Linked DNA regions of Cricetulus griseus. The protein of the gene in region 2 purifies or fractionates together with the protein of the main gene of each other region. This does not show direct contact. Links are inferred from orthologs where the notes say so. Each region holds a gene or a part of one and is shown on either strand. Other genes may lie near its edges.

Evidence for each region.
Region 1: the proteins of Polr3b (region 2) and Polr3g fractionate together in Homo sapiens (co-fractionation; 4 studies listed by BioGRID and IntAct, with this or other methods). This does not show direct contact. The link is inferred for Cricetulus griseus from reciprocal best matches to the Homo sapiens genes POLR3B and POLR3G.
Region 3: the proteins of Polr3b (region 2) and Polr2f purify together in Homo sapiens (affinity purification with mass spectrometry; 5 studies listed by BioGRID and IntAct, with this or other methods). This does not show direct contact. The link is inferred for Cricetulus griseus from reciprocal best matches to the Homo sapiens genes POLR3B and POLR2F.
Region 4: the proteins of Polr3b (region 2) and Pfdn2 purify together in Homo sapiens (affinity purification with mass spectrometry; 3 studies listed by BioGRID and IntAct, with this or other methods). This does not show direct contact. The link is inferred for Cricetulus griseus from reciprocal best matches to the Homo sapiens genes POLR3B and PFDN2.
Region 5: the proteins of Polr3b (region 2) and DNA-directed RNA polymerase III subunit RPC10 purify together in Homo sapiens (affinity purification with mass spectrometry; 6 studies listed by BioGRID and IntAct, with this or other methods). This does not show direct contact. The link is inferred for Cricetulus griseus from reciprocal best matches to the Homo sapiens genes POLR3B and POLR3K.
Region 6: the proteins of Polr3b (region 2) and Crcp purify together in Homo sapiens (affinity purification with mass spectrometry; 5 studies listed by BioGRID and IntAct, with this or other methods). This does not show direct contact. The link is inferred for Cricetulus griseus from reciprocal best matches to the Homo sapiens genes POLR3B and CRCP.
Region 7: the proteins of Polr3b (region 2) and protein POLR1D purify together in Homo sapiens (affinity purification with mass spectrometry; 6 studies listed by BioGRID and IntAct, with this or other methods). This does not show direct contact. The link is inferred for Cricetulus griseus from reciprocal best matches to the Homo sapiens genes POLR3B and POLR1D.

Annotation. Positions count from the first base shown.
Region 1 is NC_048595.1:302,148,360-302,151,859, forward strand, and holds part of Polr3g (DNA-directed RNA polymerase III subunit RPC7), read right to left. Parts: intron 1,763-3,500; 5' UTR 1,730-1,762; coding exon 1,613-1,729; intron 1,146-1,612; coding exon 1,016-1,145; intron 1-1,015. UniProt on the Homo sapiens protein: DNA-dependent RNA polymerase catalyzes the transcription of DNA into RNA using the four ribonucleoside triphosphates as substrates.
Region 2 is NW_023276806.1:150,710,658-150,714,157, forward strand, and holds part of Polr3b (DNA-directed RNA polymerase III subunit RPC2), read right to left. Parts: intron 977-3,500; coding exon 847-976; 3' UTR 1-846. UniProt on the Homo sapiens protein: Catalytic core component of RNA polymerase III (Pol III), a DNA-dependent RNA polymerase which synthesizes small non-coding RNAs using the four ribonucleoside triphosphates as substrates.
Region 3 is NC_048595.1:376,264,885-376,268,011, reverse strand, and holds part of Polr2f (DNA-directed RNA polymerases I, II, and III subunit RPABC2), read right to left. Parts: coding exon 3,093-3,127; exon of another isoform or gene 3,040-3,092; coding exon of another isoform or gene 2,983-3,039; intron 1,349-2,982; coding exon 1,218-1,348; intron 1-1,217. UniProt on the Homo sapiens protein: DNA-dependent RNA polymerase catalyzes the transcription of DNA into RNA using the four ribonucleoside triphosphates as substrates.
Region 4 is NC_048598.1:21,547,853-21,552,009, forward strand, and holds the start of Pfdn2 (prefoldin subunit 2), read right to left. Parts: upstream 2,801-4,157; 5' UTR 2,746-2,800; coding exon 2,671-2,745; intron 1-2,670. Other genes in the region: Nit1 (deaminated glutathione amidase), read left to right, coding at 3,241-3,242, 3,455-3,550, 3,921-4,157. UniProt on the Homo sapiens protein: Binds specifically to cytosolic chaperonin (c-CPN) and transfers target proteins to it. Binds to nascent polypeptide chain and promotes folding in an environment in which there are many competing pathways for nonnative proteins.
Region 5 is NC_048599.1:60,488-64,422, forward strand, and holds the start of DNA-directed RNA polymerase III subunit RPC10, read right to left. Parts: upstream 2,801-3,935; 5' UTR 2,721-2,800; coding exon 2,610-2,720; intron 1,183-2,609; coding exon 1,095-1,182; intron 1-1,094. UniProt on the Homo sapiens protein: Core component of RNA polymerase III (Pol III) which synthesizes small non-coding RNAs using the four ribonucleoside triphosphates as substrates. Can mediate Pol I proofreading of the nascent RNA transcript.
Region 6 is NC_048597.1:109,299,771-109,303,910, forward strand, and holds the start of Crcp (DNA-directed RNA polymerase III subunit RPC9), read left to right. Parts: upstream 1-1,340; 5' UTR 1,341-1,524; coding exon 1,525-1,532; intron 1,533-4,140. UniProt on the Homo sapiens protein: DNA-dependent RNA polymerase catalyzes the transcription of DNA into RNA using the four ribonucleoside triphosphates as substrates.
Region 7 is NC_048597.1:82,928,340-82,932,578, reverse strand, and holds the start of protein POLR1D, read right to left. Parts: upstream 2,801-4,239; 5' UTR 2,700-2,800; coding exon 2,674-2,699; intron 1,870-2,673; coding exon of another isoform or gene 1,494-1,869; exon of another isoform or gene 1,314-1,493; intron 1-1,313. Other genes in the region: Polr1d (DNA-directed RNA polymerases I and III subunit RPAC2), read right to left, coding at 1,494-1,869, 2,674-2,699.

The DNA.
Region 1 (3,500 bases), on a different chromosome or scaffold from region 2:
AAATAAAAATGAGTATTTATTAGTTGATTTCTGAAACATATAAAATTTGATTTTATGTTTAAATCCAGACAAAAGCATGCAACAAAATCAAGAAAATAAAAATTAAAAAAATCCTTTATTTCTGAAGGAAAATTGATCAAACCATTCTATACACTCAAGCACATAAGTCATTGAGATTAAACTTGTCCAACATGCTTCTTATGAAGACATGTAACACTATCATCTATATACTTCCTTTTTTGACTCAGCCAATGCAAGTCTCTTAGAAAGAAACAAAGAAAAAAAAAAAAAACAGCTTTAATACTAATGGCATGAGCTGATGCTATACAAATTTCTCATGTTTTAATGATGTTGTTCTAAGAACTCAAAAGATGATATTGATCTCTCTAACAATCAATACGTTTTTATTGTGCTTAAGAACTATTCATGAGCAGGCTCACTTCCTCTAAAACCACTTCCCTTTTCTCTGTCTGAGATGCTGAGCCTTCTGAAAGTGTTATTCCTCCTCTCTGCCCTAAGCATCAAGAATAAACACATTTTATATTTTACGTCATCGGAACATAAGCAATAAACTTATATTTAAAAGCAAGACTTTTAAAGTTTTTTAGTCTAAACTGTCAATAATCAGAGGCATCCTTAAAAAGTTATGTACAGTGGTAATATTCACAGCATTGCATAGCTAAACAAACAAAATAAATGGGAAAAACACTTCATTCTATCAGTAGGAATTAGTGATAATTAGTGTTTTATCCACATAATAGATTAACATAACTATTAGATTGTATTTTCTAAGACTTCTAAGAATGTTTTAAAAGGCAGTATATTATTGCATTGTAAGGGAAAGACACAAAGTATGAGTAAGTTTGCAGCGAGAAAACTCGTGGAAGAAAAACATACAATAAAATGTAAATGTTTGCCCTTTTTGATTTCTGATAAGTAATTTTTTTTCAAGTTGGTTGTACAAACTGTTTTCTCTATTAAAACCAAATTACCTCATAAAGTGCCTAATACATACCTTGTTTTTCTGCAGGTGTTTCAATAAAATAAGGCATTCGTTTCACTGTTTCTCTCAGCTCTTGCTTCAAGGCCAGCATGTAATCCTCATCTTCTCCTGTTTTCAGGGGCACTGGTTTGTAATCTGTATCCTGTTTAAATTAAAAGACAACGCCTATTTAAATAAACTAAGAATTTTAGTATTTCTCTTATCCACATGTGAGACAATGTTGCTCTTACTGAAAGACAGTGATGAGGAAATGCTGGCAACATGAGGAAGGCCAGGGCAGGAACAGCCTTCTAGCTAATAAATTACTTTTATTAAAAAAAAAAAAGTGATGCTATATGCTTACTTTCCCACTGTTTAGAGCTACTCTCACAGCTGGTGGCCTTATTTTGAAGGTAGTCACTATACTCAGATACTATGCCTATACCTGAGATACTTGTTTTCAAACTATATTGAGTATTAAAGGTAAAATATGAAGAGCAAAAAGCCTAATAGGACACAGGTGCTATGAAAAGGAAGCTAGGATATCATGATAGAACCATGTATTTAAGCCCTAAACCCCTAAAAACATGCAAAAATCCATTGTGAAAACTGAACTGTCAATTCACTTACAGGAAACAGTGGTGGTGGCTTCAACACAACATCAGGCAACTTTTCCCCTCTGCTGAAGCCAACAGCCTCAATATTAAAGGTATAGGCAGCACGTCCTCTTCCTTTATTACCAGCCATCAGAACCAATTATAGCAGAGGTGTGAACAAACCCTGAAAGACAGAGTTAAATGGTAAGATTTACTGAATTCTATGCAAAGGAAAAAAAGCATTAGTTTTACATTTAATGTTACATTTGAAAGCAAAAGGTAACACTCTAGCCCTTATATAGCCTGGTTGTTTTAAAATACTTTTGAATGGTTGATTTAAAATACTTTTGAACCGGGTGCAGGGATCTACGCAGAAGAGTAGGCAGTAGAAGAGCCTACCAGGATGGAGGACTCCCAGGAAAGCATTTCTTCCAGGCACAACAGGACTGATGCAAATATGAACTCACTGAGACTGTAACAGTTCACACAGGGCCTGCACAGGTTCAAATGAGACAGGGTCCCAGCACTGAAAGGGGGAAGTAGACACATGCTTCCTCCGGTAACAAAGAAACCAAGTAGATACAGCCTGCACCCTTAACCAAGAAGCCCTTGACACAATGCATTTGATACATGCTTGCAAAGGAAAATTAGTTTTCTCGAATGGAGTCTCACTGGGAATATTAACATTTCTGGGTAGGCTCCATACCCAGGAGTAGTTAGACAACACAGAATGAACTCACCAGTAATTTTTTTTTTTTTTTTTAGAATTTTTGTTTCATACTGCTCTGTGAAGTTTTGTTTTGCTGGTCTTCTACTTGTATATTTGGCTTCCACTTTTGTGAAAGGTCTTTTGTGTGTGTTTCTTGTTTTTGCTTGTTTGATTTGGTTTTGTAAAGAAAGAGAGAGAGGGGGAAAGACAGCTAGGGTGGTGGTCGTGCATGTCTTTAATCACAGCACTTGGGAGGCAGAGTCAGGCAGATCTCTGTGAGTTCCAGTCAGCCTGGTTTACAGAGTTCCAAGACAGCTGTACATAGTAAAAGCCTCTCTTGCACGCGCACACATGCACGAGAGAGAGAGAAAGAGAGAGAAAGAGAGAGAGAGAGAGAGAGAGAGAGAGAGAGAGAGAGAGAGAGAGAGAGAGAGAGGGAGAGAGGGAGAGGGAGAGGGAGAGAGAGGGAGAGAGGGGGGCACAGAGTTGGATGCATGGAGAGGATCTAGTAGGAGCTGGAGGAGGGGGAAAGTGTCATTGGAATATATTGTATGAAAATTTTTTAATTAAAAAGAAATGTATATAGGAGCAAGTGATCAAGATGGCTGAACAGTTCATATGCCATCTCTATGTAGAGATGAAGACTAAAGGACACAACTCCTTCACTCAGGTCTTCAGGACATTGAGATGGTGTCTGAAACACTCAGCTAACTGCCAGGATTCCCTCTATCTCTCTATGGTTTGATAACAGGATCTCAGCTAGAAGGAGGAGGAGGAGGAAGAGAAGAAATGTGTGAGTGTACGCATGTGTGTAGGAGGGGTGTGTTCTCCTATGCAGACATGTGTGGAGGAGGAGGTTAACATCACCTTTGAACATCTCATTTAATTGCTTCTCCACCTTATTTGAGACAAGATTTCTCACCGAACCTAGAGCTTAAGACTGGCTGGTCAGTAAGCCCCAGTGACCTACTTTCCTCTCTGAGGTTACAGACATATACCACTAGCATGCGAAGTCTTGCTTCTTTAACTGTGGGTTGTGGCCCTGTATGGGGTTATAGGACTGTGGTTATCCAAAAAATTTGGCAATAAAACCAAAAATTTATTAAAAATGTAATATGTAATGAACCCTCACCTGGTATCACTGCAGCCTTATTACTGAAGGAAAAAACATGCACACTTGGCATCATGCAGGCCTTCTCACCACACAATGCAG
Region 2 (3,500 bases):
CTGCTGGCCCTCCCACGCCATACAGAGCCCTTGTGTTACCTGCTGCCCTTTGGGTGTCAGTTTACTTTTTCCAACAAATCTAACCATTCTTTGTATGTGTGTGGAGGCCAGGGATGGACACTGGGGGGGGGGTCTTCCTCACTGTCCACTTGAGACAGGGTCTCTCCCTGAACTGAAGTGCAGTCACTGGCTACACCATTGCTCAGTAAGCTCGGCATCTGCCTGTCTGCCCCTACCCCACCTCCACACTATCAGATCTGTACATGGGTACTAGATGCTATGTCCAGGGTCGTGTCCAGCTCTGATGTGGGTTGCTGGGGATGAACTCGGGTCCTTGTGTTTCTGCAATAGGTTCTTTACCGACAGAAGTAACACCATAGTCCCAGTTCAAATGATTCTTTATGTCTTCCATGTCTGATGAGAAACCAGAGTTCTGTTAACCAGAAGATGTCATGGGGAGTTTTAAGAAGGAAGGTTTTTCTATTCAGTATATTTTAAAATATAATAACATAAATAAACTCATACTGGTAAATCCAGTACTTGTGAAAGAAGGAGGCAGGAGGATTGAGGTGAGTTCAAATCCTGCGTGGGCTACAGAGTGAGATTCTCACTCAAAGCAAAAGAAAATTAACAGGAGTTCATAATCACTTTAGCTTGTGTGTCCCTGTGACTCAGCATGATACTGTAGTCTGTGGGGCCAGCATCTCCTGTGGCTCGAAGCTCTTGGTCAAGTTTGTTCAGCCAGCATTTCAAAACTCAGAAGGCTGCTCTTCCTCATCTCAGTTTCTCGTGAGTCCTCTGCTTTTGGCTGTACAGGGTGCTGGCCCTCAGTGACCCTACTCATCCTTACTCGTTGTACTTGGCCAGTTTCAACCTGGGGATAATGTTCATGGACTGCAACTCCTGGAAGAGCAGCTTGCAGGCATATGGGATGCGGAGGGAGGACACATGGCACGATGACTTGCAGTAGTGGCACCTGAAACCCAAGGCAACACTGGTCAGAGGGGTGGCAACAAAGGCCTGCACACAGTACTGCTACGTTCCTCTCCCCAAGCTGTCTATCACTGTCAGACATGTACTGATGGCTCAGAAAGTTAAAAGGAACATCTGTGGACACAAAATCAAGAATGATACAAACCATTCCCTGCAGTTTAAAAGTATGCAACTTTAGTCCGTTAACTCTCTTCAAAAGGGAAAACATTTGCTTAACACTGTTTTGAAAGAACCCCAGAAACTGGAACCATCAGGAACTGAGTGAGATATCTCACCGTTGGAAGTTTTCAGCCGATGCCACCAGCCACATAGTGTTTGGGGGCATCTCTACCATTTGTTCATTGAAACACACTCACCAGAAAAAAATTCAGTTCCTACCACCGAGGCATGTAAGGTCTGATGGAAAAGAAGCCTTTTAAATAGGATAGCAGCAGTGGCCTCAGGACAGGTCTAACAGTCAGTATTTATAGTAAGCCGTCCCCTGCAAAAACCTGAGAAATGTATGTATGTACACACATGCAAATATTCCCACTTGACCGTTACAATAGCCTGTGTCCCAACCAAAAACTAGTGACACCATGACAGATTCTTTGCCCTCTTCTGGATTCAGCCCTCATCTATGACGATGGAAGGTCCCTTGGGGAGGACGTGAATTATCCACCCAGGTTTTGCAGTAGAAGATGACTCAGAAGAGTGTCTACAGTGAGGCTATGAACAAGACCACAGAGCTGGAGCCTCCTCAGAAGTCCACTGGGCGGCTGGTTCACATTCTAGGCCATTTATACAGAAGAGGTTATAGTCATGCAACATAATGGCACAGACTCAGTCACTGCAATGGGAGCTAACACCCAGGGTCTCAAACAATCAACAGTTTGAAAAAACTTCTGAAAATGCAATAGTAAAGCCAGGACTGGAGAGATGGCTAAATGGTTAAGAACACTGGTTGCTATTCCAGAGGACATGAGTTTGAGTGCCACAGAATCTGATGTCCTCTTCTGGGCTCCACAGGCATCAGGTGAACACATATGCAGGCAACAAATCCATACACATTAAAAGGAGAAAGAGAAAAAACCAGGGGCAGGTGAGATGGCTCAGTGGGTGCTTCACCTAGTCTAATGAGTTTGATCCCTTGGTCCCACATGATGAAAAGAGAACAAAGACCAGATAATTGTCTGCTGACCTCTATAAGGTCCTATGGCATCTGCATGTTAATACATATATACAAAAATTATGAATAAATGTAAAAAAATGTGTATCTTTGGGTAGATATGGTGGTACATTCCTACAATCCTATAAGTTCAACACCCAGGATACAGAGGCAAGAGGATCGTTAAGTTCAAATCCAGCCTAGGCTGCATGAGGTCTTCTCTTCTTTTTGGATCTTTTTCTAGTATCAGAATCTTGAAAAGTTTATGAATTAAAAAGTAAGTAAAAATCAAAGAGTAAGAACAATCAGCCATGTTTCAAGAACACCATCACTCAATTATGGCCAGCAGTCATCTCTGGGAGGTGGGGATGTCTGTGCCTCCCACTTTTAACTTTGAGCAAGGGCTATTTGTACAACCAGCAAAATGCAGCTGCTTGCTTTCATGCACGAGTGTGTGTGTGTGTGTGTGTGTGTGTGTGTGTGTGTGTGTGTGTTATTTAATTCTACGTTTATTTGACGGTCTTGCTACAGAACCTTGGTGTGTCCTTAAACCTCCTATGAAGACCAGGCTGTGATTCCCTTGCCAACTACTGGTGCTGAGTAAGTGTGAGACATCACAGACTTTCTCCTTTTAAATTTTAGAAAAGCAGAGCCAGTACCCAGGATGAGAATTTACATGGTGACAATGACCTGAGGGACAGAACTCCCTGGGGGTGTTGGGTGGGGATGCATCATTACTGATGTTGACAGCAGAGACACATTAATGATGAAAACTTCAGCGATATAAAATTTCTTAAAAGACTGCCCAAAGATTTCTCTAAAGCATTAGAATCAAGCATGTTTTTAATGTGCCTGGTGGTTTTAAATTATTCAGGAATCACTCTCATACCACTTTAATTAAATTGAGGAAACAGACTGAACTGGAGTAACTTCTTCCTGTTTTTCCTGTCCTATATATTATGACTCCAATTTCAGTTAATCAAGTTAAAATTTCCATATTGTTGATTCATAGTCTGTATAACCAATTAATCTTAATATATTCATTCAAAATATCCCAATGTCGTGTGTGTGTGTGTGTGTGTGTGTGTGTGTGTGTGTGTGTGTGTGTGTGTGTGTGTGTGTGCGCGCGCGCACATATATATACATAAGCTAATTTACTCTATGGCTGAATAACTTGCACAGGTAGATACCTGACCAAGAACAATAAGGTAAACTGATCCCTAGGATTAAGGCAGCAAGAGGAAGCTGTGGCTGCACATGAGGAGCATTCGAAGTGTAGCATCTTTCATGAGCTAATTACCTTAATGGGGCTCTTTGGTGACTTCTGTCCTGGGTCCTCTGAGAAACAAGAGTCTTGCTG
Region 3 (3,127 bases), on a different chromosome or scaffold from region 2:
GACAGGAGTAACTGAAAGGCATCTTTCATCAGTGCCCTATGGACGCGCAAAGTTCAAGTGTGGGCTTCAAGTGACTCTGGTGCTGCAGCTACCACCAATCAACAAGCATGTCAACCACCCAGTTAGCAAGTAGTGAGCGACATCATCCACCAGGTGGTGCTAGCAGGCCACACTGAACCCAATGGAAGCTATCCAACCATTTCAGCACTTAAGCAAAGACAGAAATCAGTCTGGCGGTCTGTGAACCATGGGCAGCAAGGGCACCACCAGAGGGCAGGGGATCCTGCAGAGTAAGGAGCACTAAAGCCTAGACTATGCTGGAGCTGTCTTCCTCACAAAGAAACATGACAGTTGGGTTGTCTTGGATTGAGGATTGTCTGGGCACTTCACACCCTATGAATGCTCCACACTGACTTATCAAATGTCAACATGAACCTATCCCTGTAGGGTCTACTGACATCTTTTACTATTTTTTTTTTTAATTATTTGTATTTGTGTGTATATGCTGGGGTATGTGCATAAAAGGAAGTGCCTATGGAGGCCAGAAGTATCAGACCCTCCTGGAGCTGAAGTGATTGATAGGCAGCTATGACTCGGTTCCTCTACAACAACAGTATGTGCTCTTAACTTCTCTCCAGCTTTTTTTGTTTTTGTTTTTCAAAATGGTTTCTCTGTAGCTTTGGAGCCTGTTCTGGAACTTACTCTGTTGGCCCCAAACTCACAGAGCTCTGCCTGCCTCTGTCTCCTGAGCACTGGGAGCACTCTGTCTCCGCTGCCCGGCTCTCTGCAGCACCCCCCCACACACACACACAGGGCTTCTCTGTGGATTTGGAGGCTGTCCTGGAACTAGCTCTTGTAGACCAGTCTGGTCTCGAACTCACAGAGATCCGCCTGCCTCTGCCTCCCAAGTGCTGGGACTAAAGGCCCACTGCCTGGCCTGTCTCAACCCATGGCCCAGGCAGGCCTTGAACCATGATCCTCCTGTTTCTGTGACCCGAGTATCTATGCCACCAGGCCTGACTAGGGTTCTTATTGTCACTTTTTTCCTGTGAGGTTATTTGGCTCCTCAGTTACTTTTCATGGCTTACTTTTTACATTACGCTACTGGCTCCCTAAGCCCAGCACAATGCCTGACACACAGGGACAGGGCATGATCAGCAGCCTGGGGCTTACTGTGGCCCAGCTGATGGAGAAGACAGCAGAGGGGCAACACTTACGCGATCTGGAGTGCCCGGGTGCCCAGTACACGGGCTCGCTCATACTTGGTCATGTAAGGAGTGGTGATGCGCTTCTGGTTGGCCTGTGGTCGTTCACCAGAGGGTAGAATCTCAACATTCTCCTGACCCTCCTGGATACCAAGAAAACAAAGACAGGAAATCTCAGGGCAAGTTTTGGGTCAGGGAGGAAGATGATGACAATGACACTCAGCACCAGTAACGATTTCTGGATGCCAAGGACTATACAGAGACTCACTAGTACCCCATTCCTTACCACCTGGTGAGGCAGGGATGATGGTCCCTATTCCAAGGGCTTCAAAAGCCAGCCAACCTGACCAAAGTCTCCAAGCTAGCAGTAAAGAGGACTGTGGTCAAGATTCTAGAGCCTAGGGGGCTGGAGAGATGGCTCAGAGGTTAAGATCACCGAATGCTCTTCCAGAGGTTCTGAGTTCAATTCCCAGCAACCACATGGTGGCTCACAACCATCTGTTATGAGATCTGGTGCCCTCTTCTGGTGTGCATATAGACATGGAAACAGAATGTTGTATACAAAATAAATAAATAAATAAAAATCTTTAAAAAAAAAAAAAAAAGATTCTAGAGCCTACTGTCCTGCCCAAATGAAGGCGGGCCCTATAAATGATGAGCACAAACACCAGATCTTTCACACAATGAAACTGAGTCAATGGGTCGAGTGACTAGAACAGTCAGGGTAAAGAGGAAGTCACACCATACTGAGCAATGACCTGCTACACATTACTCATCTGTTCAGGCTGTGACTGAGGACACATAAGGCCCTGGGTTCTGATAGTAGGGTCACGACCTAGAGAAAACAGGCACAGAGCAACAACTGCTGCCAGGAATGTGCACAGCCTATGCCCAGAGTTTACAGGATTCTGAAACCAAGAATAAAGGGCCTAAATTTAGGTCCTCAGTCTCCTTACAGTCTGGGTAGATAACAGTGTGTGCCTATAACCACAGAACTAGGAGGTAGCGACAGAAAGATTTCTGGGGCTTGCTGACCGACAGCCTAGCTGAAACAGTGAACCCAAGTTCAGAGAACGACAGGGGCTGACATCTAACAGCAACCTCTGCCCCTCCGTATGCACTACACAGCACACAGACACACATGTCCATATGCACAAAATTTCTCTTTGTTTATTTGAGACAGGGTTTCTCTGTGTAGCCTGAGCTGTCCTTGAACTCACAGAGATCTGCTTGCCCCTGCCTTCTGAGTGCTGCTGGGATTAAAGGTGTATGCCACCACTGCCCGGTACACACAAAATATATATATTTTTTTTTAAATAAAAACTGTCCAATGGTATTTTAAGTTTTTAGGATAGAGTAGTGAATAAAGAGATCAAAGCTATTTCTACCAGAACCCATGCCTTTAATTCCAGCACTCAGGCAGCAAAGGAAGGCTGATTTCTGTAAGCTAGAGGCCAGCCTGGTTTAAATACTGAGTTCCTGGGCTATACACTAAGAACAAGTCTTAAAAAACATACATAACAAGACTCAACAAGCCAGGCGGTGGCGGCACACACCTTTAATCCCAGTGCTTGGATGCCAGAGGCAGTTGGATCTCTGTGAGTTCAAGACACAAGAGCTAGTTCTAGGACAGGCTCCAAAACTATGCAGGGAAACCCTGTCTCGAAAAACAAAAACAAAAAAAAAAACAAATGAAAAGAAAAGAAAAAATAAATAAATAAGACACAACACTCTTAAGACCTAGTTGAGGTGACACTTAGGCAAAGGCGAAGTGTACCTGCAGGAGACACATCCCTGGAAAGGGAATGATGAAACCTTTGGCAAACATCACCATCTCACTGTCTAGCTTCCAGGTTGCAGTGCAGGAAGCTGAGGATGGCTACTAACCTCCTCTGCATTTTCCAAGTCATCTAGTCCTTCGT
Region 4 (4,157 bases), on a different chromosome or scaffold from region 2:
CCAACAAACCCATAGATGTGGAGCTGCCCAGCATTTTAGAGGCCCAATCCCTGCCCCAGGGTTTCCAAATGGCACATGGAGAAAAATTGTTATAGAATTGTAAGACAATGCCTGCTCTCTTGGAATCAGACTTAAGGCTTGTTTTACACACACACACACACACACACACACACACCCACCCACCCACCCACCCACCCCCACCTACCTTTCTGGCCTACTTCTCTCTTTGCCTGCCTCTGCATTACATGCTGGAAGGAGATGAGCTACTTTTCCCTGCACAAACGACCCTGGAATCTTGAGTTAGTACTGGAACAAATTAAGACTCTGGGGACTATTGGGGCAGAATAATCGTATTTTGCATTGTAAGGGCACAAGTTTTGGGACTAAGGGGTATAAAGCTATGTTTTAGTAGGGTTTGTCCTCTCCAAAACACACATTGAACTTTGACTGTCAAGTGACAGGGATTTTTCTTATCTTTTTGAGACAGAATCTCATGTAACCCACACTCAAATTTACTTTGAGTAGATGAACTTGAACTCCTAATTCTCTTGCCTCTACATCTCTCTCAAATACAGGGACTGGTCTACAGAGCTAGTTCCAGGACAGCCAGGGCTACACAAAGAAACTATGTCCTGAAACAAAATAACAAAAACAAACAAAAAAACTGTTTAGATTATGTGCATGTTTGTGTGTCTGTGTGATAGCATGTGCACTCAAGTGGAGTTGCCTTGGAGGCCAGAACAGGGCGTTGGATTCCCTTGAGCCAAGGTGATGGGGAATTGTGAGACAAGCAACATGGATGGGTGCTGGGAATCAAACTTGGGCCTCTGCAAAAGCCATCTCAAGGGGCCTTTACCAGCATTTATTTGTTTGTTTGTTTGTTTTCTTCAAAACAGGATTTCTCTGTATAGTCTTGGCTGTCCTGAAACTAAACTAGCTCTGCAGACCAAGCTGGCCTTGAACTCAAGAGATCCTCCTGCCTCTGCCTCCCAAGTGCTAAGACAAAATGGTGCACCACCATCACCAAGCCCATAAAATAATTTTTTTTAAAACTCTCATTGTTTTATTTGTCTTTCTGTCATGTTTGTTTTTACAACTGTTTCACTCTGTAGCCCAGGCTTAGCCTGGAATGGACATGGTAATCCAGCCGGATTACAGGTATGAGCCATCACACTCGGCTGTCTTGTATTTCTAGGGATCTTTGACCAAGTTGAAGATAAGGTCTGTTTCATTTACCAGTTTCTCTGTGTTCAGCAGAGCCTAACACAAGACAGACCCTCAATAAAAGTATTAGCCACTATATTGGAGGCTACCTCCAAATTTCAATGCATTTTACTTCTCTTAGAACACTTATTTTCTGCCTCGAAGTAGAATTATGAAAATCCCCCTTTTGTCCCAATAGATATGCTCTTTGATAGGGCAGGTTTTAAACTCTTTATTCGGCTACCTTTACCTGACTGTACTGAGTGTTCAACAATTAATTAACACCCTCCCATGTCCTACACTTCAGGGCTCTCCCATTTGGCCCACTAAGCTATATCCCTAGCCTCAATTCTTTTCATTTCAATTGTGTGGTTTTTTTTTCCTTCTACTATCGATTAAATACTAGTCCCACGATTAACAAGGCACGGTTCTCATACCACAAAGGGCTTTCTGATTAGTCAGACATATCCCGATGTATTGGGGTGGGGGCAAACTTAGATTAGAAAAGGGTTTCCGGTCTCTTCTAAAAAGTCAATCTCCACTCCGAGAACACAGTGAGCGAGTTCGAGGCCAACCTGGGCTACTTAGTGAGATCATGTCTCAAAAGACCAAACAATCCTGGCCCGGCTTAGTGACACAGGCTATTAATCTCAGAATTCGAGAGGCAGGAGCAGGGACAAGCGGATCTCTTGAGTTCCAGGCCAGCCTGGTCTACACTGTGTATTTCAGAAAAGTCAAGACTGCATAGAGCGACCCCGTCGCAACTTCCACCCCCGACCCCAAGGCCAACCAACCATCAAACAAACCAAACTAAACCACAAAGCCAATCTACTAAAGACTCCTTAGTTAAAATAGTTACAGAAGGCCGGGCGTTGGTGGCTCACACCTTTAATCCCAGCACTCGGGAGGCAGAGGCAGGCGGATCTCTGTGAGTTCGAGGCCAGACTGGTCTCCAGAGCGAGTGCCAGGATAGGCTCCAAAGCTACAGAGAAACCCTGTCCCGAAAAACCAGAAAAAAAATAGTTACAGAAGACTGAAGCGGTCGAGTCTGAGTCACGTGGTTTTGCAGCGCGTGGGCGATGGTGAGCGCGGTTTTAGAGTCACAGACTAAACAATTCCCCGACTAATAACCTCTGGGGTTCGTTACTAGATGCAACGCCGAAGCAGGCCCGCCTCCCAGTAGCTCGGAGACGGGGGAAACGACGACCCCATCACCTTGGGGCCCTGGACACCCTCCCAGCTCCCGCAGCTCAGGGCTTTCCCACTGGGCTCCCGCTGCAGCCTGCGGACGTGGCTCTCCTCTGCACACCCACCTCCGCATGCCCTAGCAGGGGTCGTGATCGCCTCCCTCCGCGAGTGCGACACGGAGAACGTGGAAAGGGCTGAGGGCCGGTACAAGCCACAGACCCCGTTTCCTGCACGAACTCGACACCGGCCGAGCTGCCCTCGGCGCTCGCGGATGCTCACCTGTTCGGCCGACACCGCCCCCTTCCCGGTGCTGCTCCCGCTGCTCTTGCTCACACGACCGCTGCTGTCCGCCATCTTCGCCACCTGCGAGCTTTCCGGCCTGCGCACTCCCACTGCGTCACATCCGGTCTGGTAGTTACCACCCACTTGCCCCTGCGCTTCTGGCTCCAGGAAGCTCCTCTGGTCGACCCTGCGAATGGTTTTGGCGGTGGCTTCATGTAGGACCTACTCCCCAACCCTGCCCGCTGCGGTGAATTCCACCTACGGTGCTTTAACTTGTGCAACAGAGATTCTTGCCCCAGGGAGAGGCGGGGAAGGGCGCGCTAATCAGAGGGCGGGGTCCAGGGTTGGGATCTGGTCCGGAGCCCCCTGCCCACCTCGAGATGGTGGCGATCTAGGGAGAGTGAACTTGCCTTTCGAGATACTGCTGTAAGGGGAGAGATACGCGTTGAGCCTATAAAGCTGTGCAGGTGGCACAGCCGAGAAGAGAGAATTGGGGAAGCGAGGAAGGTTCCATGAGATGACTTGAACCGCGGAAACGTTTGGCAGAGGAAAGGGGCTTCAGTTTTAATGTGAGATCACTGGAAGTTGAGGTATTGAGGCTCGGATCAGTCTCCTCTCCCATGTTTCCCTTTTACGACCTCTTTCCACAGCTAATCGTGTGGGGGGATGTTTTTGAAGCCTTGGGGGAGGGGATTACTGGCCAGGCCTGGAAATGACAGAGAATTCTAGAAACATACTACTTGAAGGAAGGTTAGGTGTCCTGATTTTTCACCCTCTTCAGGCTGGGCTTCATCACCAGGCCTCCTCGCCAACTCCTGTCCCTTTTGTGTACCGGAAACAGATTGCCTCGAATCTCGGTACTTTGTACTCAGCCCAGGTAACATATTTTCTTGTTCTCTGCCTGGCACATTGCCGCTCAATCCGTGTTTATAACTGCAGTGTGGGGAGACAAAGTTGTCTGCCACCCACCAAACATTTAATAAGTGAACACCAGTAGCTCTGGGGTTATTATGCTCTGAAAGAATGGAAAGAAGTCACTAGGGATGGTGGGACACACCTGTAATCTCAGCACTTGGGAAGCAGGCAGCAGTTTAAGGTCATCCTCAGCTACATAACAAGACCTGGCTGGGCTACAAAACACCCTGTCTCAAAAAAGAAAAACATCTAGGTCTGTGGCCCCATCCCACTTGAGCCTCTGGGTTTCTCCGTGCTAGCAAATCTGAGAACACTGCCCGTGCTATTCACAGGCCCAGAGCTATGGAGGTGTCCTCCTCAACTTCCTGGGAGCTGCCCCTGGTGGCTGTGTGCCAGGTAACATCAACACCAAACAAGCAAGAGAACTTTAAAACATGTGCTGAGCTGGTTCTAGAGGCGGCCAGACTGGGTGCTTGCCTGGCTTTTCTGCCTGAGGCATTTGACTTCATTGCACGAAATCCTGCCGAGACATTACAGCTGTCTGAACCACTGGATGGGGACCTTCTGGG
Region 5 (3,935 bases), on a different chromosome or scaffold from region 2:
CTACACAGCAAGATTCTATCTCAAAAATAAGCAAAAGCCTTGAAAGTGGAAAATGAGTAGAGGCTTTTGTTTTATTTTGAGATAGGGGATGGAATGAGGAGATGGGGGGGGGAATGAAGGACAGGATGGAGAGGGAATTGGGATTGGTATGTAAAATAAGATTTTTTTATTGTTTTTAATTTAATAAACATTTTTAAAAATAAAAAAAGACTAGGGCTAATCATTTTTACAATATTGGTATTTGAAAATACATACAACAGAATTCTCTTGAGAAGCCTGTACCCACTAGAGCATGGACAACTGTCCTTTTACACCTCTCGCCTCCTCTCAACAACCATCAATATTTAAGTTTAAATCAACATTGAAACTTTTTTGTAATAAACCCCAAATTTGTTTCAAGAAGAGAATATGTACCAGATTTTTACTTATACTTGCCCATATCTGTCCTGAGAATCTAAATGAAACAACAGAGCAGGTATCAATATGGTGATTTTCCTTTCAGTATATTTAATCCTTGAAAGAAATCTGCTTTAAAAAAATTTAATATGGCCAGGTGGTGGTGCACATGCCTTTAAACCTATCACATGGCAGGCAGGCAAATGGATCTCTGAGTTCGAGGCCAGCATGGTCTACAGAGAGAGTTCCAGGACACCCAGGGCTACACAGAGAAACCCTGTCTCAAAACACAAAATCAAACAAACAAAAAGGTCTTAATGCCTTGCTTAGAGTTTAAAGAATGACTATATTGTGACTACAACATATCAAAATATTTCCTGTATTGGCAAACACAAGCTATTTGTCATTATTGTTTATATTTTCTTAAATTCTTTTATAACTACTGGTTGAGGGGGTGGGAGTTGGTAAACAACTTTTCATGAATCAGCTGTCTCCTTATACTATCTGGGCTCCAAGTATCAAACTCAGGTTAACAGGTTTGGAAACAAGTGCTTTTACCTGCTGAGCCATCTTACTGGTCCTAACAATATACAGGGTTGCATTATAATAAATAACAATAAATTTATTATTATTAAGTATAATAATAAGTAATAATAAATAGGGTTGAGTCACTGGCTCTGTAATGGGAAAATTCTCACCTGCAGTAGAGTCCACATTCTCCCAGGCAGCTGCTCCACCAAGCACATCATCCACTTCTTTCAGCTTTGGATACTTTCGGTTTGTTACCTAACAAAAACAAGTCATCAGATTTTAAGAAATCATATAGTTTTAAAAGCAGGCCACCAAACTATAACTTTCCTCCAGCATTTCCTCTACTCAGTAAATGGATACAAAATTTATCTTCTTCAAAGAGCGACAAGAGCCATTAAAATGTAGGGGTTTTGTGACTGAGATATTCCCAAAACAGCACAGTTTCAATGTCAGAGACCCCTAGAAACTGGAGGAAACAGCAGACAGTGCAGGAAGACAGCTGAGTTAAACCATGCTCTTCTCTCATACCCCTAATAACCCAACATGAAAGACAGACAAAAGCCTAATAGCACCATTTATCTGGGTATCCCAGCATTCCCAGGGACACATTTCGTTGCTTTAGTCATCCTTCAATTTTCAAAAATTATGTCACCATTCAATCTTATCACATATCCAGACTCCAAACTCCTACCATACAGCTCTTAAGTGCAAACATTAAAAATGAGGTATCACCAAGGCCTGATGATACACATCTGAAATCACAGAACTCAGGACACTGAGTTAAGGAGGAACAAGAATGGAAAGGTAGACAATACAAAGGGCTGTAAAAGCAGCTTCTCTGGGTTCCAACACAAGCACCACACACACAAAGCAGCAACAATGACATATATTAGAAGACGATGAATCCTGGGAAAAGAAAAAGGAATGAGAATAAACTGGAAGAGCTGGGTTTGGTTTCTTCGTTTACTTAATTTTCATATACATATGCTATGCAGCCCAGGTGAGCCTTGAACTTAATCTCCTGCCACAGCCTCTCCACGTGATGGAATTATAGGCATGTACCAACAGCCAAAAGGGAGAGGGAGAGGGAGAGAGATAAAGGAAAAGGAAGAGAGAAACAGACAGACATACCCACACCGAGGGAGGGAGGGAGGGAGGAGAGAGAGAGAGAGAGAGAGAGAGAGAGAGAGAGAGAGAGAGAGAGAGAGAGAGAGAGAGAGCGCCAAATGGCTCGTTGGGAAAGAAAACTCGGGCGAAAGGAACGTGAAGGAGCTAACAGTACTGCGTGCACTTTTGGAGGTAAGATCCTCCAGAATAGCGACAGGATCTGGGAGCAAGAAGAGCCACAAAAAGAACATTAAGATTTGAGATCAGAGAAGGTGATAAGCGTATTGGAGCCTGGCGTGCGGAGGACAGCTGTAGGTTTTAAAGGCGTGGTTCAGCCTAGAGGTAAAACGGAAATCTCGCAACCTTTTGGGTGTCACAAAACCGGCAGCAGAGAGCCAGAGGCAGAAATCTCTGAAGTGACCAGAAGAGTGGCTTCGATTTGGCCGGAGCGATGCCACTGGATTACCAACTACTGAACTTGAGGTACTTCCACAGGTGAGCAAAAAAAAAAACTACCGCCCGCAGGAAGTCTGAGCGCACCGACAGTGGAGGAGGCGCTCGCCTCTGGGACTCACCTTGCGTGTGATATTATGCACGTAGGGGCAAGTGTTGCAGGCGAAACGATGGCAACGCTGTCCCTCCTCCACAATTAGTCCGTTTCCACAGCTCGGACAGAAAAGCAACATTGCTGCAGATCCAACAAGTAAGCTCTTACTGTCTAAAGCTTCCGCGGCCGCAGACGCCCAATAGAAGCGGCCACTGGCACGTACCCAGAAGGCACTGCGGCAGGCAGCTCTCACATGCCATTGGTCAACGCAGATAGTCCTTCCCACCCTCCAATAGTGCGCTGTCTGCCTTCCCAGCTTTCCTGTAATGCCTGCGCGTGCGCACGGATCTCCCTGACGCAAGCACAGGCTTAAATGGCCCGAGAGATGGGGCTGGCAGCTGACACGCCTGACCTACCCGGGAATAAGGTTCGGAGGGAGGTACAGGTGATGAGAAGACAGTGCCGCACTCCGAGCCATGGACGTGTTCAGGAAGGTCTTGTCACAGTGGCGCAGGACCGGCTGCTTCGCATCTTCTGAGCCGGGACTGACAGGCAGAGACTAACCTAATGTCCCAGGGACTTTAATTCAGCCCCTAGTGTTGATACTACCTCTCTGCTGCTGTCTGCCTAACGTATGAATACCTGTCTATCTGTACTTACCATCTTTCCAATCTGACCATTTCTTCACCTGGTCCCAGTTCTGCCATTTCACTTATTTCACTTATGCCATTTCACTAGATTCAATTCTACAGATCAACTCTGACCTACAATACCAGCAGTTCCTCTCCACAGACCTCCATCTGGTTCTTTTGTCTCATTCCTATAGACTCCTTTACGTTTCCCAGTTCTGCCTTCTCAGACCTCTTTTAAATGTCTTACCTCCTTAATCCTCTGCAAGAATTCTATAACCTACACAGGGAGGGGTTGGGGTGACTCCTGTGGGTTTTTTGTTTTTGTTTTGTTTTATTAACTTTAACAAGTTAGTTATCTAGAAGAGGAATCCCAATTGGGAAAATGTCTCTATCAGACTTATAAGTAGGTAACTCAATGGGGCATTTTCTTGAATGCAAATTGATAGAAGTGGACGCAGCCCGTTGTGGGCGGTGCCACCACTAAGCCGAAGGTCATGCGTGAAATAGGAAAGCACTACGAAGGGGCTAAATGGTTCAGCTTAAGAGCACTTGGCCTTCTCCTGTAATTGGTGACTGCGCTAATTGTCACCAGAGAGCATTCATCCAGTAACTGATGGAAGCAGATGCAGAGATCCACAGTCAGGGAGGAGGAATTGTACGAGTAAGAGGGAGTCAAGATCGTAACTTGGGGAACCCAGAAACAGCTGACCTGAGATAGTGGG
Region 6 (4,140 bases), on a different chromosome or scaffold from region 2:
CAGGCGGATCAAAAAACAAAACAAAACTATATCCTAGTCTGGCCTTGAACTTGCTGTTGGGAGGATGATCTTGAATCCCTAATCCTCTTGCCTCCAACTCCCAAATGCTGGGATTATAGCAGATATGGGCCAGCAGGTCCAACCTTTTTTCTTTTCTTTCTTTCTTTCTTTTTTTTTTTTTCTTTTTGGTTTTTCAAGACAGGGTTTCTCTGTGTAGCTTTGGAGCCTATCCTGGCACTCCCTCTGGAGATCAGGCTGGCTTCGAACTCACAGAGATCCACCTGCCTCTGCCTCCTGAGTGCTGGGATTAAAGGCATGCGCCACCAACCCCCTTTCTTCTTTTTTCAAAGTTTTATTTTATTTTTTTGGTTTTTCGAGACAAGGTTTCTCTGTGTAGCTTTGGAGCCTATCCTGGTACTCGCTCTGTAGACCAGGCCGGCCTCGAACTCACAGTGATCCACCTGCCTCTGCCTCCTGAGTGCTGGGATTTAAGGCATGTGCCACCAGCACCCAGCCAAAGATTTATTTTATGTGTATCTGTGAGTGTCTGTGTGTATGTATATACTTCACATGTGTGCCTGGCGGGGGCTATATAAAAGGCCTTGGATCCTCTGGAATTGGAGTTACAGGTTGTTGTGAGCCACCACGTTGGTGCTGGGAATCAATTCCTGATCCTTTGCTAGAAATGGAAGTACTCTTAACTGCTATGCCATCTCTCCAGGTGTCTCTCTTTCTCTCTCCCTCCCTCTCCCTTTCTCTCTGTTTCTTGTGTGGCCTAGGTTGTCTCACAAAAATGTGCTAGCCTCTACCTTCCCTTTTTTCCCTTGCTGGAATTAGAGGCGTGCGCCACCATGCCTGGCTGGCTTCTGGGGGTTTTGGTTGGTTGATTGGTATGTGTGTGTGTGCCTGTGCGTTTTTTTTAAACAAGATTTTATTTATTTATTATGTATACAACATTCTGCTTCCATATATATCTGCACATCAGAAGAGGGCACCAGATCTCATAACGGATGGTTGTGGGCCACCATGTGGTTGCTGGGAATTGAACTCAGGACCTTTGGAAGAGCAGCCAAAGGTGCTCTTAACCTCTGAGCCATCTCTCCAGCCCTGTTTTTTGTTTTTTTACACAGTGGTCTGCAATAGCCCAAGATAGCTTGAAACCCACTCTGTAGCACAGGCTAGCCAGGAACTCGTGGCAATCCCCCTGCTTCAATCTCTCTAGTGCTGAGATATCAGCTGCGAACTGACTGGCTTGGAGATTTTTAAAGCGTCCAAGACAGGAACCTTATCTTATTAAAACCCTAACAAAACCTAGACCATAAAAAAGTTTAAATTTTGCCTCCAGAGGCTGAAATTCGAAATCCGTACGACGCAAGGAGCCCGGCGTTCCCTACAGCGATCCCGGCATGCAACACGGCGTCCCAGAGTGGCTTGCGGCGCACACGCAGGCCGAGAGCTCCGCGGCGGTGGCACGACGGGAGGCCGTTCCCTTCCAGCGGCTGCGCAGGACGAAGCGGCTGCGACATGGAAGTGTAAGCCGCATGTCCGAGGGCAACCCGACTCATCTGGGGGCCGGAGACGGCTGGTGGTCGACCCTCCGCACCCGCTACCAGGGCGGGAGGGCGGAGTGGACGGGCCGGAAGTATCTGGAGGTGGGGCGGCTGGGGAGGGATCCTGCTGGTCCCGCAACCCACGTTCTTTGAGGGAGGGGAGTGTAGGAGCAATGAGTTTTGTTTGCTTGTTTGTTTTTCCTCCTGGTTCTGGGTATGAAACTCAAGACCTTGCACGCGCTCCGCAGTCGTCTGCCCCCCCCCCCATCATCATCATTTTGTAATGCTGGAGTTGGTACCCAGGGCTTCTCACATGCCAGGCAAAGGCTGCAACCCTAGCCGTTACCACCGTCGTTATTTGTGATACTGATACCCAGGGCTGTGAACATACAAAGGTGTGCTAGTTTCCTTTCTGTTGTGTGAAAAACACCATGACCAAACAAGGAACTTCGGGGTAGAAGTTTATTACATCTTTTGGTTTTTTGGAGACAGGGTTTCTCTGTGTATCTCTGGCTGTCTTGGCACTCGCTCTGTAGACCAGGCTAGCTTCGAACTCTCAGAGATCCATCTGCCTTTGCCTCCCTGAGTGCTGGGATTAAAGGCGTGCACGACTACCGCCTGACAGGGTTTATTTATTACATCTTACACTTCAGGACACAGTTCATCATTGAGGGAAGTCAGGGCAGGAACTCAAGGCAGAAACCTGAACAGAACCCGTTCAAAAATTCTGCTATCGGTTTACTCTCAGGCTTTTTTTTTTTTTTTAAGATTTTATTTTATTTATTATGTATACAACATTCTGCTTCCATGTATATCAGCGCACCAGATCTCATAAGGGATGGTTGTGAGCCACCATGTGGTTGCTGGGAATTGAACTCAGGACCTCTGGAAAAAGTCAGTGCTCTTAACCATTGAGCCATCTCTCCAGCCCACTCTCTGGCTTTTTACAACAACAACAACTCCTCATTTTCTTTTCTTTTCTTTTCTCTTCTTTTCTTTGTTTTTCTCTTGAGACAGGGTTTCTCTGTGGCTTTGGAGGCTGTCCTGGAACTAGCTCTTGTAGACCACAGAGATCCGCCTGCCTCTGCCTTCCAGTGTACTGTTAATTGTTTTGTGGTGCTGGGGATGGACACTAGGGTGCTAGGCAAGTGCTTTAGCACTAAGCCACGTGCCCATCATCATATAGTGGTGTTTGGAATGGTAGCATCCTGAGCATTCTAGGCAGTTACTCTCCCACCAGCAAAGCCATCTTGACAGTTTTTTCTCCATACTGTTTTTTTTCTTCTTTTTTTTTGTTTTTTTTTTTCTTTTTTGATGTGCAAATGTAAGTTTTTGCATCTATTCTACCTGTGGACTTTATATATCCCTGGATGACATACCTAAATTGTGGGGTTTTTTTTTTTTTTGTGGGGGTGGTTTGAGACAGGGTTTCTCTGTGTATCTTTGGAGCCTATCCTGGCACTCGCTCTGGAGACCAGGCTGGCCTCGAACTCACAGAGATCCGTCTGCCTCTGCCTCCCCCCCCCCCAGTGCTGGGATTAAAGGTGTGTGCCACCGACGCCCAGCTCTAAATTGTGTTATCATTCATTGTTCTTTACCTTCTGTTCACTTGTAATATATACTACAGTTTGTCAGACTTTTTAATACAGAGTCATAAGTAGCTCAGACAGGCTTTGATCTTGGTATTCAGCAGAGGATGATCTTAAGTTCTATGTCTCCACCTCTCAAGCTGCCACATCAGATTAGTATTTGTATGGGGGGGGTCTCACTGTGTAGCTCAGGCTGTCTGGTTCAGCTTTCTCCATCTGAGTAGCTATTGTCAGACACCCTGGCAATGCTCAGCTCTCTGACATGGCCCTGAATTTCCCTCTCCATCCTACTGCTGGGAGTTCTTTTGTTACTCCTCTTCCCTTGCTGGTCTCAATGTTATTGAGCATCTTAGTGCTTCATCTTCTTGGGACACTTTCTGTTCCCATTCTTGGTATACATTCATTTATATGATGGTGGTTCCTCAAAATGTTTCTTTTTTTCTTTTTTTGTCCCTCATTTTCTGTCAAATTGTTTAAAACAAAATCTAGCATATTCCCTACCAGTCATCAGACAGTCCTTTTCTTGTTTTCCAGCACCCCCCACCCCTTGTAGTAGGGTCTCATGTACCCAAGGCTTAGCTTAACCTTGAACTTACTACCCATTCAAGGGTGGCCTTGAGCTTCTGATCCTCCTGCTTTTACTTTGCCATTGCTGAGTTTACTGGTGTATTACACCATACCCTGTTTATGCAGTGCTGGGGATGGGGCCAGGGTTTTATTCGTCTTAGGAGTGTTGTAATTTAAGAAAAGCGGTGCACGAGAGAAAGATGCCATGCACAGGGTTCAAGCAGAGGGGTTTTTTATAGGGGAAAGGGAAGGAGGAGATTGGCTTCCGAGACAGGGGCAGCAGTTGAGAGGAGAAAGGAAAGGGATAAAAAGGAAAGAGGGAGAGAGAGAAGAATGGGGGAGGGGGAAACAGACAGAGAGGGAGGGAAAGAAAGAGAGAAAGGATGGGAGGTAGGCAGGGCCCTTTTAAAAGGGAACACAGTGAATATGTACAG
Region 7 (4,239 bases), on a different chromosome or scaffold from region 2:
TGGGCTCTATTTACATACCTACCTAAGGAATGAAGATGTTACCTGATAAGTCATTTTTTTCCATTAAAATTGGGGCCAGGGAAACAACTCAGGTGGTAAAAAACTTGCTGTGAAAACACAAGGATGGAGTTCAGTCTCTAGAACCCATATAAAAGAGTTGGGTAGGATGATGTGTAGGTCTGTAATCCCCGGTGCTCAGGAGACAGACACAGGTGGGGCCCCTAGGGCTTTCTAGTCAGGTAGCCTAGTTAATTAACAAACTCCCTTCATCCCAGCATGTGGGAGATTATTAAGGCAGGGGCAAGTAAATCTTTGAGTTTACAAAGTGAGTTCCAAGCCAGCCAGATTGTCTCAAAACAAACAATAAGTAGGTGGTTCCTGATGAACCAACCATCCTTAAGGCTGATCTCTGGCCTCCATATGCATACAAGTGTCCACACGAACATGCCCACACAAAACAATAAAAAAGTATTCGGTTTACTCATCATAATTCTATATTTCATGAGTGCTCTGGAACTCAAGCAGTAAACTGGTTATCTATCCTACAAATACTACAAAGATGGACCTTGATGCCAATTCAAATTCTCATGAAGAAAGCAACAACAAAAAATTCTCATGAAAAGTTAAAATTCTCAAGAGTCCTTCTAATTATCCTCATCCTTACTAGGTCTACCAATCATATGAAAGGATGCATTTACATTAATAAAAATCCAGGGCTGGCAAGATGGCTCAGTGGGTAAAGATGCTTGCCACCAAGCCTGACAAACTCTAAATGGATCCCATATGATGGAGAGAATCAACTCCCACAAGTTGTCCCCCGACTTCCACCTGTGTCATGGCATGCTGGTACACACACACACACAAAGTAAATGGTTAAAAAAAAACTCAAGTCCCTCTGCCAATCTTTTCCTGCCTTTTTAAATACAGTCTACGGTTTATGTTTTATTCCATCTCCCCTTCCTCAGCACTCCAATCATACAGAAATGAATAGCCCTTTTAATATCCATGATCAAGCCGGGCATTGGTGGCGCACGCCTTTAATCCCAGCACTCAGGAGGCAGAGGCAGGCGGATCTCTGTGAGTTCGAGGCCAGCCTGGTCTCCAGAGGGAGTGCCAGGATAGGCTCCAAAGCTACACAGAGAAACCCTGTCTCGAAAAAAACAAAAACAAAACAGACAAACAAACAAACAAAAATCCATGATCAAAACCCTCAAATTGGCCCAATTATCCGTTCACTTTCTGTGTTGGTCCAAGTAAGGGGTGGCACCATCCTTGGGGATCACCTAGGTACAAGGAAGAGAAACCACTCAAACTAGTTTAAACAAAAGAGAGAATTTATTAGGCAAATATACTTGCAGAGATTCCAACAGCTGTAATGGGTCAACAGCTGGAACCACACCTTCCTATAAGACAGAACATGCTTCAATCACAAACTCTAGCTTTGGGATCTGCACCATCATGAGGGTGATCCTCCTTGTACCCTGCACGAGGGACTAGAAAGTGGGTTCATTTCTGCTTGCCTTTTGATCCTTATAATCCTTTATGCTGGCCTCAAACTTGTCAAGCACATGTTGGCAGACATTCATGAGCTCATTCAGGCCTTTCTGAAACGGTTCAACAGCTGGAAGGGTACCCCGTGTCTGAATTCGCAAATTAATTTTGCTCTCTGAAGGATGGGTCGTAGTGTAACCACAAAATTCCACTTCCGGGTTCTTCATGATCATGTACCGAAGAGAATTTCCTAGGGTATGGTCCTCCTCGTGCAGTACAAATGTCACACACTGTCTATCTGTTCCAGCTGCCTGGACCATTTCCAAGGCTGTCTTCCTCTCGCCTTCGGCCATTGAGGTCTTCAATCCTGACATTTTTCTACACACATATTTTTTTGTAAGAATGAGATCATATGGGATACCATTTTGTGATTAAGCTTTTTAAGATTCACCACCTCAGTTTCCTGCCTCCGATACTTCTATACATAAATATTTAACTCGAGTTTCTCTCTACTCCATTTGATATATTGCCCACAAGGGGAGTCATCTCAGAAAATAAACACAAATGTTTGCAAAATCTTTCTTTGAATAGAGAAAAAGAAAGGGGCAGAGTTATAATAGGGTAGGCCCTGCTGAAAGATGAAATGGGAGTTGACAGGCATAAAAAACACGATTACTTTAGCATAAAAATGGCAACCACAAGTTATTAAGGTGGCAGGCTCAGTTATGGCTTCCCTTTGAAAGAGGTAAGGAAACTAGTAAGTCAAAGGAAGTGAAAAGTTTAATAGGAGGAAGAATTTGGCGGTCAGAAAGAATTTACGAGCAGTCTGCAGAGCGGAGTTGCAGTAACTTTAGCCGACTTAACATGCCAGCACCGCCCGGTGCGTGACCTTACACGAGGCAGTTCTAATGGGGATGGCAGTTTGGCACTTAGAGCTGGATTCCCAACTTCTCTCCCCTCCAGGATGGCTAGTGTCCCTCTGAGCTTTTCTGTATAAACAAACCCACCACCGCTTCTCCTCCCTCTTCCCAACCCGCTCGGCTCTACTCTCGATCTTCCCTTGCCCAGCGCCTCGGGTCAGGCCTAGCCGCCCCGCCGGGCCGCAGTCGGCCGCGTGCCCGGTCGCTACCCGCTTCGCTGGCCCGGCCCGCCGCCCCCTCCACTCTTCCCCTCCAACCTTACCTCTCCAGCTCCTGATCCTCTTCCATCGCGAGGGGCGGCTCCAGGAAATCCTCAGGTGGTGCTGCCGAAAAGGACGCTCTTCCCCATATCGCGAAAGATGCGGGCGAAGCAGGAAGGAAGAAACCACCGACGGAAGAAGCGGATGACGGAAGGAGGGGGGCGGAGCCGCAGCGGCGCGGCAGGACCCGATGGAGGGGCGGGGCGAAAACAGAACACGCCCCAGCCACGCCCCGTGCGGGCCGGACCGCTCACCTGGAACTGCGGAAGCTAGGAGGCTACGGTGCAAGCAGTCCCTCGCCTGTCGCCCCCAGACACTGCTGTTTAGGGTCGGAGTTGAACCTCTCATCTGCTAGACCCACCAGGGACGGTACTGCCCCGGGACTGTCTTCCCCCCCCCGGACTGGAGTCCTTTGGAGCCTTTCGTAGGGCACCTTGCAACCTTGAAAAAGCAGAGAGACTTGTGTGCAGAGATGACTCTTCTGACCATACTGAGGTTTACAGGGAGCATTTTTCTCCCTGGGGTGCAAATGCACATCTCCATCAGGTGCAAGGCAGCGTTTGTCTTTCTTTTCGGAGAGAAGTATGAGTTTGGAGCACCGCCCTCCTTCCCCAGGAGCTCGGGTTTACCCACTGTGGACCTGCGGTTCCTTTCCCCTTTGATCCCAAGGAGCCGCCCTTCTCTTCCCCTCAGGTGCATCCTCCCAGTTCCCACCTGACCCTGGCCAGGCTGGGTCCCCGCCCCACCCCAGCTGTCCTCTAGCGCACACCTACACGTCAGCCACCCCGCACCACCTGTTCTCCCTCAGCCTGGTCCCGCAGCCCTCCCCTCCCTTCAGCTGTCCCACGGCCGGCGCGGCGCTCCGGGGTGCAAGCAGACACTTCCCGAGCGTCTTCTCTGTGTGTGTCTGAGAGAATCCGGCCGGGAGCGATGGCGGAGGGCGGAGCGTGCTCACTCTAACTCGGGAGTGATGAGCAGGGCCGGTCTGGCCCCTCGAGCTCCTTGATTGGCCGAAAGACTCAGAGCCCGCTCTTAGTCCCGCCTTTCTCCGCCGCTGATTGGCTCAGGTGCGTGTCGGGTTGGGCCCCTGCGCTCGCCCCCGAGGGGAAAGGCAGCAGGGGCGGTTGAGAAGTGAAGTCTTGGCCGGACTTTGCTTCTCGCCAGGAAATCGGCGGCGGTGAGTCCCGGCGGAGTGGAGCCGGGCGGCGTCCTCGTCAGCGCTCCTGCGAGGAGCCCGCCGCTTTCCCTGAGTGAGTTACTTCGCCTCAGGTGCGGGCGGTGACAGGGTGTGGCGCTGGGGTAAGGGGAACCGCCGGGGGCCGCGTGGAGTCCGGCCCGGCCCGGTGCGGGTGCGGGTTCCCGGCGCCGCGCTGCGGGTCTGCGCGACGCTCGCTTTTTAAAACGGGGAGCTCTGGGGACGAGTTCTTGCACTTCGCGTCTGCACGTTGTCGGGAGCTAAAGCAGCGCTAGCTGGCTGCCCTCTGGTTTTGTTCCCTGGAAGAGATGAGCAGAGATCCTTCTCCCCGCCCCAGCCTGTTGCGGGAGAATTCTCACCTTTCCCTTCAGGC